Tamandua tetradactyla: one gene and its partner. The protein of the gene in region 2 binds, or shares a complex with, the protein of the main gene of each other region. Links are inferred from orthologs where the notes say so. Each region holds a gene or a part of one and is shown on either strand. Other genes may lie near its edges. The genes, in order: POLR3K and POLR3D.

The links.
Region 1: POLR3D (region 2) and POLR3K share a complex: the UniProt entries of both Homo sapiens proteins name them as parts of the RNA polymerase III complex. The link is inferred for Tamandua tetradactyla from reciprocal best matches to the Homo sapiens genes POLR3D and POLR3K.

What each region holds. Positions count from the first base shown.
Region 1 is NC_135349.1:57,276,487-57,284,748, reverse strand, and holds the start of POLR3K (DNA-directed RNA polymerase III subunit RPC10), read right to left. Parts: upstream 3,064-8,262; coding exon 2,953-3,063; intron 64-2,952; coding exon 1-63. Other genes in the region: SNRNP25 (U11/U12 small nuclear ribonucleoprotein 25 kDa protein), read left to right, coding at 3,476-3,517, 4,115-4,205, 4,348-4,453, 4,827-4,901, 5,284-5,341; RHBDF1 (inactive rhomboid protein 1), read right to left, coding at 6,399-6,818, 6,987-7,140, 7,252-7,352, 7,420-7,495, 7,676-7,770, 8,130-8,193. UniProt on the Homo sapiens protein: Core component of RNA polymerase III (Pol III) which synthesizes small non-coding RNAs using the four ribonucleoside triphosphates as substrates. Can mediate Pol I proofreading of the nascent RNA transcript.
Region 2 is NC_135329.1:22,877,359-22,885,089, reverse strand, and holds the start of POLR3D (DNA-directed RNA polymerase III subunit RPC4), read right to left. Parts: upstream 3,093-7,731; 5' UTR 2,966-3,092; intron 2,706-2,965; 5' UTR 2,701-2,705; coding exon 2,536-2,700; intron 1,631-2,535; coding exon 1,587-1,630; intron 993-1,586; coding exon 841-992; intron 680-840; coding exon 555-679; intron 209-554; coding exon 40-208; intron 1-39. UniProt on the Homo sapiens protein: DNA-dependent RNA polymerase catalyzes the transcription of DNA into RNA using the four ribonucleoside triphosphates as substrates.

The DNA of each region.
Region 1 (8,262 bases), on a different chromosome or scaffold from region 2:
GGCAGCTGCTCCCCCAAGCACATCATCCACTTCTTTCAGCTTTGGATACTTCCGGCTTGTTACCTAACAAACAACAAGTTTCAGACTCTTAAAGTAAGTGAACGGTATAAACCCTGGGCACCAAACCACAAGCGCCCTCGTGTCTTCCCAGACTTCCTCCCTTCAACAGTCAGAAGATAAAAGTTCCTGCTCTCACAGACCAGTCCCTGGCACCACATTGGAACTCAGAGAATCTGTGATCAGGGCACACCCCGAGCCAAGGAGTGGGAGTCAACAGGTAGAGGAGAGCTCTGTATGGATTAGAGAGGCACAGAGCAGAAGAAAGAATGGCTTCAGACAGGCCTTCCTCCTCTCCCACCCCTCCAGGGTATAACTCAAAATGAGAGCAACAAATACAACCAAACTTCAAAAACAAAGAGCACCACTTAGTGGGGTAAACTGGTCACTCCCTGCACAGAGTTTCCGAAGCAGTCTATGCTTGGCTTTTATCAGACATCCTTGGAACTTCGGGTTTACACGAGTTTTGGACTCTATTGCTTATGGTTAAGTAGTTTGCAAACATTAAGAAGAATGAGATAACCAACGATGTCAAGAAAATCAAGATTCTCTATTTTCTCCCACTGAAATTAAATGTATTTAAAAGGAATTTTTCACAAGCATCAGATACTAAATAAATTTCAGATAAGTTTACATATTTAATAAAAACACTGGTTTTATATCATTTTGTGATGAGAGATGTCTTAAGCAGCAAAAATCTATATAGTCCCTAGCAACAATATTTATTATAATCAATTACAGTGTCTTGGTTTTCGGCTTTATTTCAATACATTTGAAAAAGCCTTTATAAAATAAGTGTATTTACTGACTTTATCAGTAAGACTCCAAAGAAAGTAATTTGTAGTGCTTCACAATTTTGTAACAAATTGTGTCATGTTTTATAAGGCTGTGTTGAAAATGTTTTAAAAGGAAATTTATAAATGTACAAATTTACATAATTTGGGTCTTTATAATTTTATGTTAGAACTAGAAGAGACCTTAAGGACTCTCCTCACATTATAGATCAGAAACAGGAAGTTCTGAAAGGTGAACTTAATTAACTGATGAAGTTTACAGAGCTAATTAATTAATAACAGTGTATACTGAATAAACCACTCCAGGACTCTCCCTCCTACAGGAAGCAAAAATTATTACTAAGAGCTGATAAGAAAAAAATTAGAGAAACTTAAAATGCATTTAACTTAAGATAATCTGCTCGGATAACACTTTATTTTACTAATGAGAAGGGATATTAGTAATAGACGAAAGCTTATCAATATCAGGACTTTAGATCAAGTAAAGACTTAGATGGGATGATGTGTCTTGATTATACAGTAAAATGGCTTGAAGTTCATTTTCAATCCAACTATGCTTCAGTACTTGCAGATTCTAAGATCACATCTTAAAGTCCAGGTTTCACTAAAAGAAGAAAGTAAAATATGAAGCCGCAACAAAATGTTGTTATAAATTTAGTTTGGGATATTTAATCCTGTGCTCAGGGAAAATCAGTACCTAAGTAAATTATCGCATTAATAATTATTCTTAAATTTCTAACCTCTAAGAGGTGAAACCTACACGTAAATAGAATACCCACTTCTAGAAATGGTAGAGGTGCAAATGCCAGGAATGTATTCTAATGGAAATGAAGACAACGATAAATTATGTATTTATCTGTTTAAAAGAAAAAAAGGAAAATGAGATAGCACGAACGTGCTCTACTCTAAAAAGTAAAGGTGTTGAAAACTCAACAATAAGAAAACAAAATGGGCATATTACAAAATGGGCAAAAGAGCTAATGGGTACCTCACGTCACCTCAACATCATGTTATTAATGAAATGTAAAACACAATAAAACACTACAAACCAAATACAACAAATATGTTATATTATAGAATTTTAAAACAAAAGGAGAGAGAGAGGAGAAAAATAAAAAGTAAAAAAAAAAGCCTCCAATGAGCTGAGACTCAGCATCAAGGGATTGAGAAAACCTTCTCGACCAAAAGGGGGAAGAGCGAAATGAGACAAAGTGTCAGTGGCTGAGAGATTCCAAACAGAGTTGAGAGGTTATCCTGGAGGTTATTCTTACGCATTAAGTAGATATCACCTTGTTATCCGAGATGTAATGGAGAGGCTAGAGGGAACTGCCTGAAAATGTAGAGCTGTGTTCCAGTAGCCATGTTTCTTGAGGATGATTGAATAATGATACAGCTGTCACAATGGGACTGTGTGATTGTGAAAACCTTGTGTCTGATGCTCCTTTTATCTACCTTGTCAACAAACGAGTAGAACATATGGAATAAAAATAAACAATAGGGGGAACAAATGTTAAAATTGATTGTTTGAAATACTAGTGAACAATGAAAGGGAGGGGTAAGGGGTATGGTATGCATAAATTTTTTTTCCTGTTTTCGTTTTACTTCTTTTTCTGAATAGATGCAAATGTTCCAAGAAATGATCATGATAATATGCAACTATGTGATGATATTGTGAATTACTGATTATATATGTAGAACGGAATAATATGTTGTTTTTGTTAATTTTTTTAAATTAATAAATAAATAAATTTTAAAAAATTATATGGGATGTTAGCAGGTGAGTCCTAGGGGAAAAAAATAAAACGGGAGGAGGACATAACGGGGGAGCTGCAGGGCGCTTCCTCAGGGAGAGGGAAGCGGGCAAAGGCCCGGCGCGGTGGGGGTCCTCCAGGAGGCCCGCGTCGCAGCGGCCGCACGAGCGAGCAAGGTCGGGGTACCGCCGCGGCTGCGCCCGCCCCTGGGGGCGGCCCTGGGGTACGAGGCGGCTGGAGGCCGCGGGAGTCCCAAAGCTGGGGGAGAGCGGAGGAAGGGCGCTGTGGGCTGACGGGGGGTGGCGGGGACCAAGCCGGTGTCCGTGGCGCGGCGGGCCTGCGGGACTCACCTTGCGGGTGATGTTGTGCACGTACGGGCAAGTGTTGCAGGCGAAGCGGTGGCAGCGCTGACCCTCCTCCACAATCAGCCCGTTCCCGCAACCCGGACAGAAAAGCAACATGGCGGCGACTCCCGGCAGTCTCCACGGCCCCAGCTTCCGGGACCCGTCGGTGCCGAGGCCTCGAGCTTTCATTGGCCTTGGCAGCCGCCTGTCCTTCAACTCACCAATAGACACGCCGCTTACGTGCGCCCTGTGGGACGGGCAGCAAACTGTCCTGCGGTTGTCATTGGTTATGATGACCGCCCGTCTTCCAGATGCACCAATGACCTGCCTCCCTCGCTCTGCGCGCTGCGGTCCCGGCGCGTGCGCACTCTGCCACCCTCGCGCGAGCCTGCGGGAGCGGCTCCCAGCACCCGCCGCCCTGGCCGAGGCGGGGGTCGGGGCGCGCCCACTGGCGCCGGAGGACGAGGAGGACGAGGAGGAGGCGCTGCCGCACTCGGAGGCGGTGGACGTGTTCCAGGAGGGCCTCGCCATGGTGGTGCAGGACCCGCTGCTGTGCGACCTCCCCATCCAGGTGCGCGGGCGGGCCCAGGTGCCCGCGCTGGCGGAGGCCCCGGGCGCGGGTCTCGGCGGCGCTCGCGGCGCGCGGTCGCAGCAGGTTTAAAAGCCGCAGTTAGTGCACAGAAAACCTTCGCGGTGGGCAGGCTTTAAGCACAAACAAGTCCAGAGCTGACTTCTCCATGAGTGGTGCATTTACACTCCCGTCGTCTCGGGTCGTGCGCGTGCCGGTGCCCCTTACCCTTCGCACGCTGGCCCTGTCTGGTGACCGAGGGCCCTCCGGGTGGAGCGACCAGCCCGGCGTCCTCTCCTGCCCAGCCTTTAGGCTGTAGGAAGCAAAGGCCTGGACCCGGAGTGGGCGCATCCTCCTGTGTCTGTACTCCTGGCCCCCACCCCACGCCCACCGCTTCTGTCCAGTCTGAAACTTGAACGTAAATGTGTGGGTGGAACACGAGTAAGCGGGAAATCTAGTTTACAGGCAAGACCCCCTTTCCCTCCCTACCCTTCATAAAACGTGGTGACCACTGTGTGGACACGGCCAGCTTGTTCTCCTTCATGCTGTTTGGGGTAATGAAGGAGCGCTGGGCCCCACACACCCCTTGGTCTTTTCTAGGTCACTTTGGAAGAGGTCAATTCCCAGATAGCACTAGAATATGGACAGGCAATGACAGTCCGTGTGTGCAAGATGGATGGAGAAGTCATGCGTAAGTGGCCCGTCCTCACAGGGCCAGGTGGCGAGACAACGTGTGGTGCATGGATGCCTTGTTGTTAGCAGGGGTGGGCAGGGCATGTGGGCTCTGACAGTCGGTCCCCACCACGGTCTCCCGTTTGTGTCCCCGGTGGCAGCTGTGGTCGTCGTGCAGAACGCCACGGTCCTGGACTTGAAGAAGGCCATCCAGAGATACGTGCAGCTCAAGCAGGAGCGGGACGGCGGCATCCAGCACATCAGCTGGTAGGTGGGGTGGTGGCTCCTGGGCAGCCTTTCGGAGGCAGGCGTGGGCCGGCGGGGAAGTAGCTCCAGCTCCAAGTGAGCACTGCTGCTGTAAAGCGGCGAGGGACGCACTCCCTGCCCCAAGAAGCTCGGGCAGTTCTTCCTCATCTGCGCCATCCTCATCTGGGCTCCTGGTGGTGCTGCTGTCTGCTGGCAGCCCCTCCCTTCCTTGCCTGGTTCTGCAGCCGAGGGTGTTTGGTCTTTTGAGAGCAGCACCTCCTTGGAGCTACTTGGAGGGGCGCACGTGGTGCAGGAATAGCACAGAAGGAGAGGCAGGCCGCTGCGGGTCCCAAAGGGCTGAGGCAGCAGGCATTCACCTGCGTCCCTCCCGCAGGTCCTACGTGTGGAGGACGTACCACTTGACGTCCGCAGGGGAGAAGCTCACAGAGGACAGGAAGAAGCTCCGAGAGTAAGTTCAGGCTGCATCTTCACCACTGGGAAGATTGGTTCTTGCCTCCAGGACCCCTCCTAGGGGAGAGCCAAGAGCACGTGGGTGCTGTTGCCTTCCCAAGAAGTCCTGTGGGGTCAGCAGAAGTCCTGGGGTGCTTCCAGGGAGCTGGGTCTTAGCCCTCCCGCGTTGTGGAGGACAGGCAGAGGAGCAGATTTGAGTGCACTGCAGATCTCACCAGCATGAGGAGTGCGTGCTGGGGGGCTGCATGTGCATGGAGAAGAGTGGGGCTGCGGGAGGACGGACATGTGGACTGTCCTAGATGAGCCTCTCAGGAGCTCAGGTGGGAGCCCCTGAGGAGTTTTGTGTAGGTCCAACACGGCCCTCTTTCCTTCTCTTTCAGTTATGGTATCCGGAACCGGGATGAGGTCTCCTTCATCAAAAAGCTGAGGCAAAAATGAACCACTGGACTAGGGCAGCTTTGTTCACTGGTGGCCAGGCTTTTTCTGCAGGAAAGAGCCCTTAAGTCACCGTCCATTTTCAGAGGCAGGTTGAGGTGGCATCACCCCAGGTGGGTTCTGCCTCCTCCCCCTCCCCCATGGGGCTGTCAGCAGGGCCCTCTGGGATGGGCAGCTCAGGCCCAGGCCCAGGCACTCCTCTCCTGCTTGGGTTGGCCAAGCTGACCCCTCCCTGGGCCCAGACATCCCGATGGCCTGGTGGATCCTAGAAGCCTGTGGGCCCAGCTTTGTATACAAAATAAATCTGCTTTTTAGTTTGAAAATTCAAAAAGGCAACTGTACCTTAAGCAGGAGGGACTGGGAATGAGGAGGGGTGAGGCCCAAGACTGCACACCTGTTCCCCCGACCATATAGCCCTGTTCCCGTTGCCTGTGTGGTGGGGAGGGAACAGAAGACGGGTACCATCTGTCTGAGCTAGTGGGGGAGTAAGGGCTGGGTCCTGGTGACCACAGTGGTAGTGTGGGGCATACAGCCACAGAAACCCCACAGGCTTTCCCAGCAGCAGTCTCAGACTCAGTGGAGGGGTGGTGGTGAAACGAGCAGCTGGACATGCAGGGAGGTGGGGCAGCGCCCCCGCAGGGCGAGGGCATGCCAGCGGGTCCCTGCAGTCCTGCTCCACCCTCACCTCACTGTGACCTCACTGGGAGAGCCTGTCCTGGGGAACTGGACATTGGAGGCGAGGGCCCTGGAGGCTGGGGAACCTCACTGGCTGCCCAGCCAGAAACCAGAAAGGAAGAGACAATTCATAGTAAGTTAGTGGCAGCTAAAACGCTCCCAGTCCATTTATTGGCCACATGAGGTGGTCGTCAAGAGACTAGTTAAAAGGTAGTTGCAAGAACTGGTAATAAACCCCAATAGCACGAGGGGTTAAACAAGGCACCGAGGTGTGTGTGTGGAGAACATCGAGTCCGGCTCGGAGGCAGCAGGTCCACAGCCTGCACAGCTGGGGCGTGCGTGCCTCCTGTCTCCGGCCTGCTGGGAGGCCAGCCTGCAGCCTGGCTCAGTGGAGCTGCGCATCCAGCTCGTACTTTTCACAGAACTTGTCGGTGAAGGGGATGCAGGTGAGGAGCTCGCACCACTCGCAGCGGACAGGGTAGACATAGAAAAGGACCACCAGGCCGGCCAGGAGGCCCACAAAGACCACCTGGAACACGATGATCTGGCAGCGCTTACGGTACAGATCGAATTTGCCGAAGCTGATGTAGGGCAGGAAGGCGAAGGAGAGGAAGAGGCCGCTGACAAAGCCTGAGATGTGGGCAAAGTTATCGATCCAAGGCAGCAGCCCAAAGGTAAAGAGCGAGAGTACCACGGCCAGCAGCTTGAAGAAGGCACGCCAGGGCCGCGCCAAGATCTGCCAGCTCTGGAAGAGCTCTACGAAGAGGCAGGCCAGGATGCCGAACTGCGAGCCCGCTGGGCCCACCTGGGAGAGCAGGGCGGCCATGAGCTGGCTGTGGCATTCCCGGGCCCATCCCAGCTGAGCAGATGCCCTGTGCCCCGGGCCTCATCTCAAGCGCCACCTCACATGGCCCGAAGCACAGCAGGACTGCAGAGCCCAGCAGAGGGTCCCCGCCCTGAGGGGACAGCTCACCTCGGCCCGGTATGGCAGGAAGATGGCACTGGCCAGGTTGCCAGTGATGCCACTTAGCAGGTAGATGATGGAGATGCGGTGCCAGCCTGCCAGCTTCTCCAAGTCCCGCAGGATGGTCATCTGGAAGCAGATGGAAACCAGGCAGTGCAGGACCCTGCGGGCAGGAGCGAGGCACTCAGCAGGGAGGGTGTCCGGGCCACCTTGGCCCCATCCCAGCCCCTGGTCCCACTTGTCCAGCCCTGCCCAGCCCGACGGCAGCACTTGCCCAGCGTGCAGGAATAGTGACAGCCACAGGCGGTAGAACTGGTCGGGCACTTCAGGGTTGAGGAAGGGTAGGAGCCCACACACGTCGTCCATGCAGTGGACCTGCCCAGAGCAGCCATCAGTGTTGGAGTGGGGAAGGGGCACCCCCGCCCACCCACCTGAGGCCTACCTGAGAGCAGAGTGTGGCCTCCTCGTGGAAGTAGCCCCTCATGAAGTCACAGTACTCCCGGGAGGTGATCTCACACCTGGAAAGTCAGGCCGCAGTAGAGGGTGTCACTGTGCAGAGGGGGCCTGCTCCCGTCCCACCCTCCAGCTTCGCCCAGGTCCCCTTGGAATCCTGCCTGAATTTCAGGTGAGTGAGGGAGGGCCCAGCCCCAAGGCCATGCTCTGAGCCCAGGGCCCACTTGTGCATGTGCACCACACACCTGCCCTTGGTGCCGATGCAGCAGGGCCGGCCTGTGATGGCGCAGTCCATGTGCGGGTGGTTGGTGTGGTTTCCGGCGCTGCTTTTGGTGCAGATCTGGGTCGCAGGTGGGGATGAGGTGGGTCAGGGCTGTCCCCAGCCTTGGGCCCCAAACCATGCTTGGAGCAGGGAACAAAGTTAGGGGGCAGGTTCACAGGCCTCCCAGTGCTTCAAGCAGGCCACTGCGCCCTGAGCCCCAGTTGGCCCATCTGTCAAACTGCAACAGTGCTGCGTGGCCTCCCGAGTGCAAAGCTCACCTGCTCAGGCACAGGGGGCCAGCCTGGGTGAAGCCCAGGGCTTTGGCATTTGGGTCCGTGAGTGCTGCTGAGATTGGGGCCCTCTCTGGTATCACCAATGAGTGAAGTGATTATCTTGCCCGTGTGGCAAGGGTGACATCCCCAACACCCCCTGCTCACCGGCCACCTGGTAATGTCATCAGGCCACTCGTGGGGGTCCTCAGAGGACGGCTCGTCACATACCCTGCATGAGCCCAGTACAGGGTCAGACCCTGCTTCATGCACCCTCACCCGACTCAATGAGGTGGGGTTC
Region 2 (7,731 bases):
CAAAGAAAAGGCAATGAGAAGTTAACTGACACAGAATACCTTTCATAACAGGGACATCCACTTCCATGTCCTCTTCCTTGGGACCAGCCAGCAAAGGTTTAACATCTGGTTCTTCATTCTCTTCCTTAAAAAGCCACCCTGAGTGAGCCAGAGGCAACTGCACAGGCATGTTTCGAGTGTCATTCCTCAGCCCAGGGTCATCGATGAACTGCCAAAGAGTCAGAGAGGTCACAAAGAGCTAGACCAGTAGTTATACTGGAATCCACTCGAGTTCTTTTCTAATCAGAGTCCTGCTGCTCAACAGGACATCAAAAAGCTCATCTTCTGAATATGCAACTATGTGATGATATTGTGAATTACTGATTATATATGTAGAACAGAATGATCATATGTTAAGAATGTTTGTTTCTTATCATACTTCAAAAAAAATTTTTTTTAATTAATAAAAAAATTAACAACAACAACAATGCTCATCTTCTTCTAACTCTTGCTCCCCAAAAGTTCTTTTCCACAGCCACACAGAAGCCCTTTCTCCCCAGTTCCCTGGTACCTACGTCATCCTTTTCCAGCATGCGCAGGATTTGTTTTGTTTCTTCATCCGTCTCCCTCTTCTCTTTTTTGATGTTGATGATATGAGAAGGCCCCATGTCTGACACATCCACTGTTTTATCCCAATTCCCTGTGGGAAATCACCCAATTCACCAAGGATAAAGAAGATGCCAGCAACAAGGAAAACTAACTGGAAGCAAGGAAATAACATTGTCTTTGTCCTTCTCTTAAGCATTCTGAACTGAAATCCTCCATCCATTCCTTCCTCCCAGAGCCCCAACAGTCTTATACCTTTTTTCTTCATCATTTCAGCTGGGCCCTGCTCAAAGATGGAGTGGGACTGGATCACTTCTGGACGACCCCGGCCCCGTCCATGCCCTTCTCGCTGTCGGTCTCTATCTCTTTCACGCTTCTCCTTTTTGACAGTTACTTCTTCCTTTGGCCTGGAAAAGGGAGTGGATTAAAAGAAACCACTCACTCACCCTGCCTCAGAGAACTGGCCTAACTCTCTCATACCATTCCACTCTAACTGAGCAGCGCGTTTATAAGCCAACAACTTCATTATAAGGTGGAGAACCCAATCCTCAGTCTCAGTTTTTCACTTGCTCAATAGGGCAGGGTCCTGTTTTCTTTACTTTAATTTTTGTTAACAGTATATATCAGAATCATAACTCAAAACCTGAACTATAGAAGCTACCCCCAAATGTAGATTTTTTTGCACTGACTGAAAACAGGAAGGTTATAATGGTAAGGAACTTAAGGGATAACTTGATACATCTTTGTCTAAACTGGTGGTTCTTATCTCTGGCTATATATGAGAATCACTCCATTCCACTGCTAACAAGTTAAATCACGATTTTTAGGGATAGAGTCTTATGCATCATTTTTTTAAAGGCTTGTACATAAGAATCACCTGGGAGCCAGGGTTGAAACTCCTAAGTTTAAGTTCTTGAGCCACATATCTAGTTGTATCCCAGAATCCCCAAATTCAGAGAATGTAAATCAGGGGTAGTTATTCAGAAAGCCTAGCTACTTACTCTTCCTTAATCTTCCGACTGATGATGTTTGGGGTGAAGGTTTTCTGAAAGTAAAATACAGGAGTCACTGATTTGATAAGTTCTGACCCCAAAGTACAGACGAAAAGAAAAATTACCAAAGGGCATCTTTTAAGGACCAAGATCACCATGGTTCTCTTACACATATTGGAAACTGTTGTCAGGGATTTAGAGATGGGAACATACCCGAAAAGAAGGAACATCAGCAGTGGATTTACCTAGATAAATGGGATAAGTGGTATTCCAGTGGATGACTGGATACCAAAGTCATTTTTAACTAGAAGCCTCAGCTTGTGTCCCCTAAAAGGAGTGCCTCCTGGGCTTCTAAAAGCGAAGAAACTTATCTAGTCTCACCTCTTGTCTTCAAACAGCTTTAGAGACCAGTCAGTTTCATAGGAAAACAGCTCTAGCAGCAAGGTTCAAGATAGTTAGAATTCTACCACCAGAATTCTCCAAGACAAAATTAAGTCCTTCACAACAGGCTATTTTATGCTTCTGTCATTTTTTTCCCTCTTCAGGGCTACATTTAATTTACATCAATAAGCACTAACATAATGGCCAAGGATACAAAGCATCTAATGTCATGTTTGATTCATTATGCTTGCTTTTCATGGGCTTCTCAAAGGTGTCCGAAATATACAGTAAAAGAAACACGCTCAAATTGCCTCTGAACGTCTTGGACTAATGAGGATCCTCTGCCCTCCAGCCACTCTGGGAATTCTCTCAACACCTTGTTCCAAACAACTAGACTTGAAGGTACAACAGGCTTCCCAGCACTGAAAGACGAATAAGCAGAAGTCTAGGCACAAGATTCTTACGGGGTCCACACGAGCCCTGGCACACAGTAGGCCCTATATGAATACTATTTGAATCTCAGGGGGCTTGTATTCAAGATAGTTGAGTTTCTCTGCAAAAAGGTGATGTCGGGTACCTTCTTGACTCCCCCGAGGGTGAGGTCCCTGGAACGGATGGAGGGAAGACGGCCCGGGGTAAGGGGGGGCGCCGGCCGCCTCCCGATAAGCCCCCGGGCCCCAGAGAGAAGAGGTCGGGGACCTCCCGGGGTGCTGGGCTCGCCCGCGGCGTTTCCTTCCGACATGTTGCCTGGGAGAGAAGGGGGAAAAGGGGGGAAAGGAGCAACGAGGTCACTCGACGGGTTGGACACGCGAACCGTGGGCGGAACCCCACCCACGTGGCTCCCGCCCCCCAGTCAGTGCGTCCCTGCGGACGCGCATCAGCTCCTCCCCCTCCCACGTGGCGAGACTCCCTGGACCACCCGGCTCAAGGCTTTGGCTCTCGATCTTAGCCTGTCGCGACTCGCCGTCTCCCTAGGGGGTCTGGCCAGGCCTGAGTCAGGGACGCACCCTAGAGCACCCGAACTGCGACTCCACACCACGCGCGTCACTTCACCTCCGCCGCCGCCCGTAGCGGGCCCTCAGTTTCCACGCTGGGCGGAAGTCTGCGTGGCAGCGCCCGGGCGCCGCCATCTTGCCGCGGGGCGGAAGTGAGGTTCGGTGGGCGGGGCCGGGCCACAGTATTTATCAAGCGGCGCCTCGCGCAGCTCTGCCTTCTCTTCCCGGTTCTTCCCGGAGTCGGGAAAAGCTGGGTTGAGAGGGCGAAAAAGGATGAGGGGTTGGGTCTAGGTTCCGCCACGGTGCAGCGCTCGGGGGTCCGGCCTGGGGCGGGGAGTGGAGGCGCCGAGCTCAGGGTCTGGGGCGCTGCTCAGGGTCTGGGGCGCTGGCGGTCGCCAGAGCACAATGTGGGAATCAGCCGCCTCGGAGCAGTTGGGGTCGCGCTTCGGGGTGGGGCGAGGGGCGCGGGGCAGAGAGCGAGACCTGGACTCGAAGTCGGGGGAACCCAGGCCAGAACCCAGGCCCGCGCCGGGCCGTAGCAGTCTCCATTGCGGCCGCGGGCTCTGGATGGTGACCTTGGAGTGGTCACTGCACCTCTAGGCAGTGGCCTCGCCCTCGCTCCGACGACCCTTCTCTGAACTCCTGGTAGGGTCGTGGGGTGGGGCTGTGCGAGGTTGGCGAAGCAGCTGCCGCGGGCAAGCCAGGTGCCCAGTAGCACCCAGGCTGGGCTTAGGGCTGCGTGCGCCTGTGCTTGCATGGAACCTGAAAGTTTGCTCTGCAGGAGGGGCGAATGTAAAGAACTTTTACTGTGACTCTAGCGCTTGTGGTTTAACGTAAAAATAAATAATGTGCTCCCTCACACACACACCGTATAAAAAACCATGTAACAACGTTACAGAAAGTTTGGGGAAAGGAAAACATTTCTATTAGAATTCCACCTAGAATACTGCTATCAAAATGTGTGTAATATATTTCACGCTTCCGTCATATTGTCCCACAATTCTGTATCCTCCTTTTTCAAATAACATTTCTTTGTTGTTGTATCCAAATGATTTAGATATTCTCCGTGGAGTGGATATATCATTATGTCCGATTTCCCTATTATTTGAACATTCGATTGTTTCACTCTTTGTTGTAAATAATGCTTCTTTGAACATTGGGTGCATTCAACATTCTTCTTTGGAATTGTTTCCTTAGCACAAATCTCCAGACCTGGGATTAGTGGCCTAAAGAGTACTTGCAGTTTTTTAGAAGTCATCTTTTTATTTTGAGATAATGGTAGACGCATGTAGTCTTAAGAAATAGTGCTGAGAGATCCCAAGTATTGCTTACTTAGTTTGCCTCAATAGTAGCGTCTTATAAAACAATAGTGCAATATCACACTCAGAATATTGACGCTGATATAGTCTAGACACAAAACATTTCCATCACCGCAAGTATCTCTTGTTTCGCCCTTTCATAGCCACATCCATTTCACCACCATCCCCCTCCCTGGTAACTATTAATCTGCTCTCCATTTCTATAATTTGGTTATTTCAAGAATATTATGTAACTATTCTATATAACTTCTTAAAATTGCTTTTTCCACTCAACAAAATTCCCTGGAGATTTTCCAATTTGTTGCATGCAACAGTAGTTCCTTATTATTTATTGCTGAGTATCCATAGTATGGCTGTATCAGTTTCTTTCATCATTCACCCTTTGAAGGATATCTGGCTATAGCAAATAAAACTGCTGTGAACAGGTCGTTGCCAGTTTGGGGCGTTAGAAATAAAGCTGCTGTGTATGGGTTTTTGTGTAAACATAACGTTTTTCATTTCTCTGGGATAAATGCCTAAGAGTATAATTAATGGGTCATATGGTAGTTGCATGCTCAATTTTATAAAAAACTGCCAAACTGTTTTCCACAGTGGCTATACTATTATGAACATGAGCATTTTGTGGTTCTTCATCCATGTTATAAATTTCTTTCAAAATGTTTGTGCATCACCACTAAAAAATGTGCGTATACATATACATAATTTACCACATCATTTTGAGTTAAAATTTTTAAACTTCATTTTTACCAATTTAACAATATATTAATATTATATTACTATTTTGTTATGTTGGTTTCTATCCAGATTTTTTCAATATCTTTTCTCCATATTAGTTGTATGATAACCAAACCAAACGAAAACCCTTCCTGTTCCCTACAGAGCTACACATAACAGCCCTCGGTTTCCTTTTTAAAAAAATTTATTATATTTTATTTATTTATTTATTTGTTTGTTTGTTTGTTTTAGCCCTGAGTCTCTGACTGGAGTACCAGATGAAATTGCTCCAGTTTGTTTCTCTGGACTTTGAGGTTCACCAAGCTTTTAGCAGCTCTTAAATTTTTGTTTTGTTTTGTTTTTACAAAGATGCTTATTCACTGATCAGTTACAGGTTTATGATATGAGAATAAACCAGTTGCTGGTAAGAAGCACAATTTATCTGATTGTGAGGCTTCAAATAAAATGTGTTTGAGTCCCTAAGAAGCAAACACTGTGTGGTCCTGTGAACTGTATTCCCAACAACATTTCAAGAACTCTGAGTCTTGTTTCATTTTTTATTGTATTATCCCTTAATGTCAGCTGATGGAGTAAAATAAAAGTATAGTTCAACCTGAAAAAAAAAAAAAGATGCTTATTCATTGTAGGAAATTCTGAAAATTTTAAAAGGCAGAGAATTAAAATCTGCTAATGTTATACCATCACCTGTTTTGTATACTTGAAGCTGTTTTTCCTATGCATGTATTTTTTTAGGTTGAGTTATTTCATATATGGTTCTATAATTTGCCTTCACCATTCTGCTTTCTTTCTTTACTTAATCCCAGAGCTCTCTGTTTTCTCTGAAGTGTTCATTCTTTTATCTAGCCTCAAGCTTGTAAATTATTAGCCACAGAAGCCTATGTAACATATGAGTCTAGCAGATATTTTTATTATCAACATTTTATTGCATTTTATTTACATATATCTTATAGGAAAAGACAATAACCATTCTTTTCTGATAGATAATGAAACTAGTAGTCGAACTCTTGGGAACATTTCATAATTTTCTGGGTCTAAATACAGGTTTTAGAAGGTCTAAACAGTTTCTGTCAAAAGCCAATTCCTGTGAATTCGTGATGGGCATTGAAAATACTAAATGAATAAGCAACTGCTTTGAATATGTATTAGTAGAATAAAGGGAATATATAGTAGGAGAGCAGTACCTAAGATTGGGCTATTACATGTTCTCGACATGAAATTTACCCTAATTTGATTCATTTTGGAGGCCATTCCTTCTCATTCTCCTTTCTTGGTTCCTCAACTCTTCAGCCTCTTAATATGGGAAAATTTTAGGATTCAGTTCTTGGAACTCCTCCCTTATTTTCCTGGCTTCAAACCGTGTACGTTTACAAATAGCTCTTAAATATGTATCTCCAGCCTAGAACTCTCTGAACTCCAGAGGTATATCTCTGCCTATTTCAGCCTTAACTAAGATATTTGCTAGGGTTCTTAAATTTATGTTTAAGTTCAAACTTTTGATCTTCCTCCTCAAACTTCCCAAAGTTTTTGCATCTTAGGAAAATGGCCACACCATCCTTCTGGTTGTTCAGGTTAAAAAAAAAAAATTCCTCTTTTTTTAACTCCTCTATTTCTCTCAGGCCTAACATTTTTTTATGGCAGCTCTACCTTCCAAATATATCCAGAATCTTACTACGTCTCACCCTTCAGTGACACACTACCCTGCTCGAGGCCACCATCACATCTTTTGTTGAGATTATTACAGTAGCTTCCAACTGGCCTCCCTGCTTCCACCTGGGCCCTCGGTCTAGTCTCAATAGAGCATAAGTAATATATTTCACAGCAGATCATGTCTCAACTTCCCAGTGGCCTCCCATTTCAGAGTGAACACCAGGGCTTTCTGCAAAGCCCTGCATAAGGTGCCCCTCCATCTGTCATCTCCCTGGCCACCATTCCTGCCACACTCCCCTCACTGACTGCTCCTGCCACGCTGGCCTCCTTGCTGTTTCTGGAAGAGATCAGGCGTGTTCCTCCTCCAGGGCTTCTGCACCTGCTACCTGGAATGCTCTAGAGCCCACCACATACTTCTGCACAGCTCACTTTCTCCCTTCATCCAGGTCTATTACTCCAAAGTCACTTTTGACATTTTGTCTTCAAAGTTGTAACTCCCACTCCCCCATGACATCACCTGTCTTATTTACTGACCGACTTTTCTCCATAGCATTTATTACCACCTGATAAATACAGACTTTTAAAATTCATTAACTCTGGTAGTAACTAGATGTACAAAGTTAAAAATGTTTTTTTTGCATGAGGAAGAACAAAGGAATGTCAGTGTTGCAGGGTGTTGAAAGTAGATGGTAGTTCGTATTTTAAAACTTTAACTTATGTGTGAGACAAAAGGAAAAAGTGTTTATTTTGTCCAAAATTTATATTTTGACTAGTGCATCTCCTAATATAACTTATGTGGACAGTTTAATTGAACACCATAAGTACATGGAACCTTAAATAGGGCCTGAGATTATATAGGCTTGTCCAGAGGAATGCCCTGATAAATCCCAGAGTGATGCCCCAATAAATCCCAGAGTGATTTGAACAGTGAATAAAAAAATATTTGCCAAGTCCCCTTGGGGGAATGGGGAGAAACGGGGAAAATTCAACTTCCCCATCTGGAGAACTCCCGATATTCTCGCAAGCAGTGGGAATAACCAAATCAATAGGCTGAGCCCTCAATCTTGGGGTTTGTTC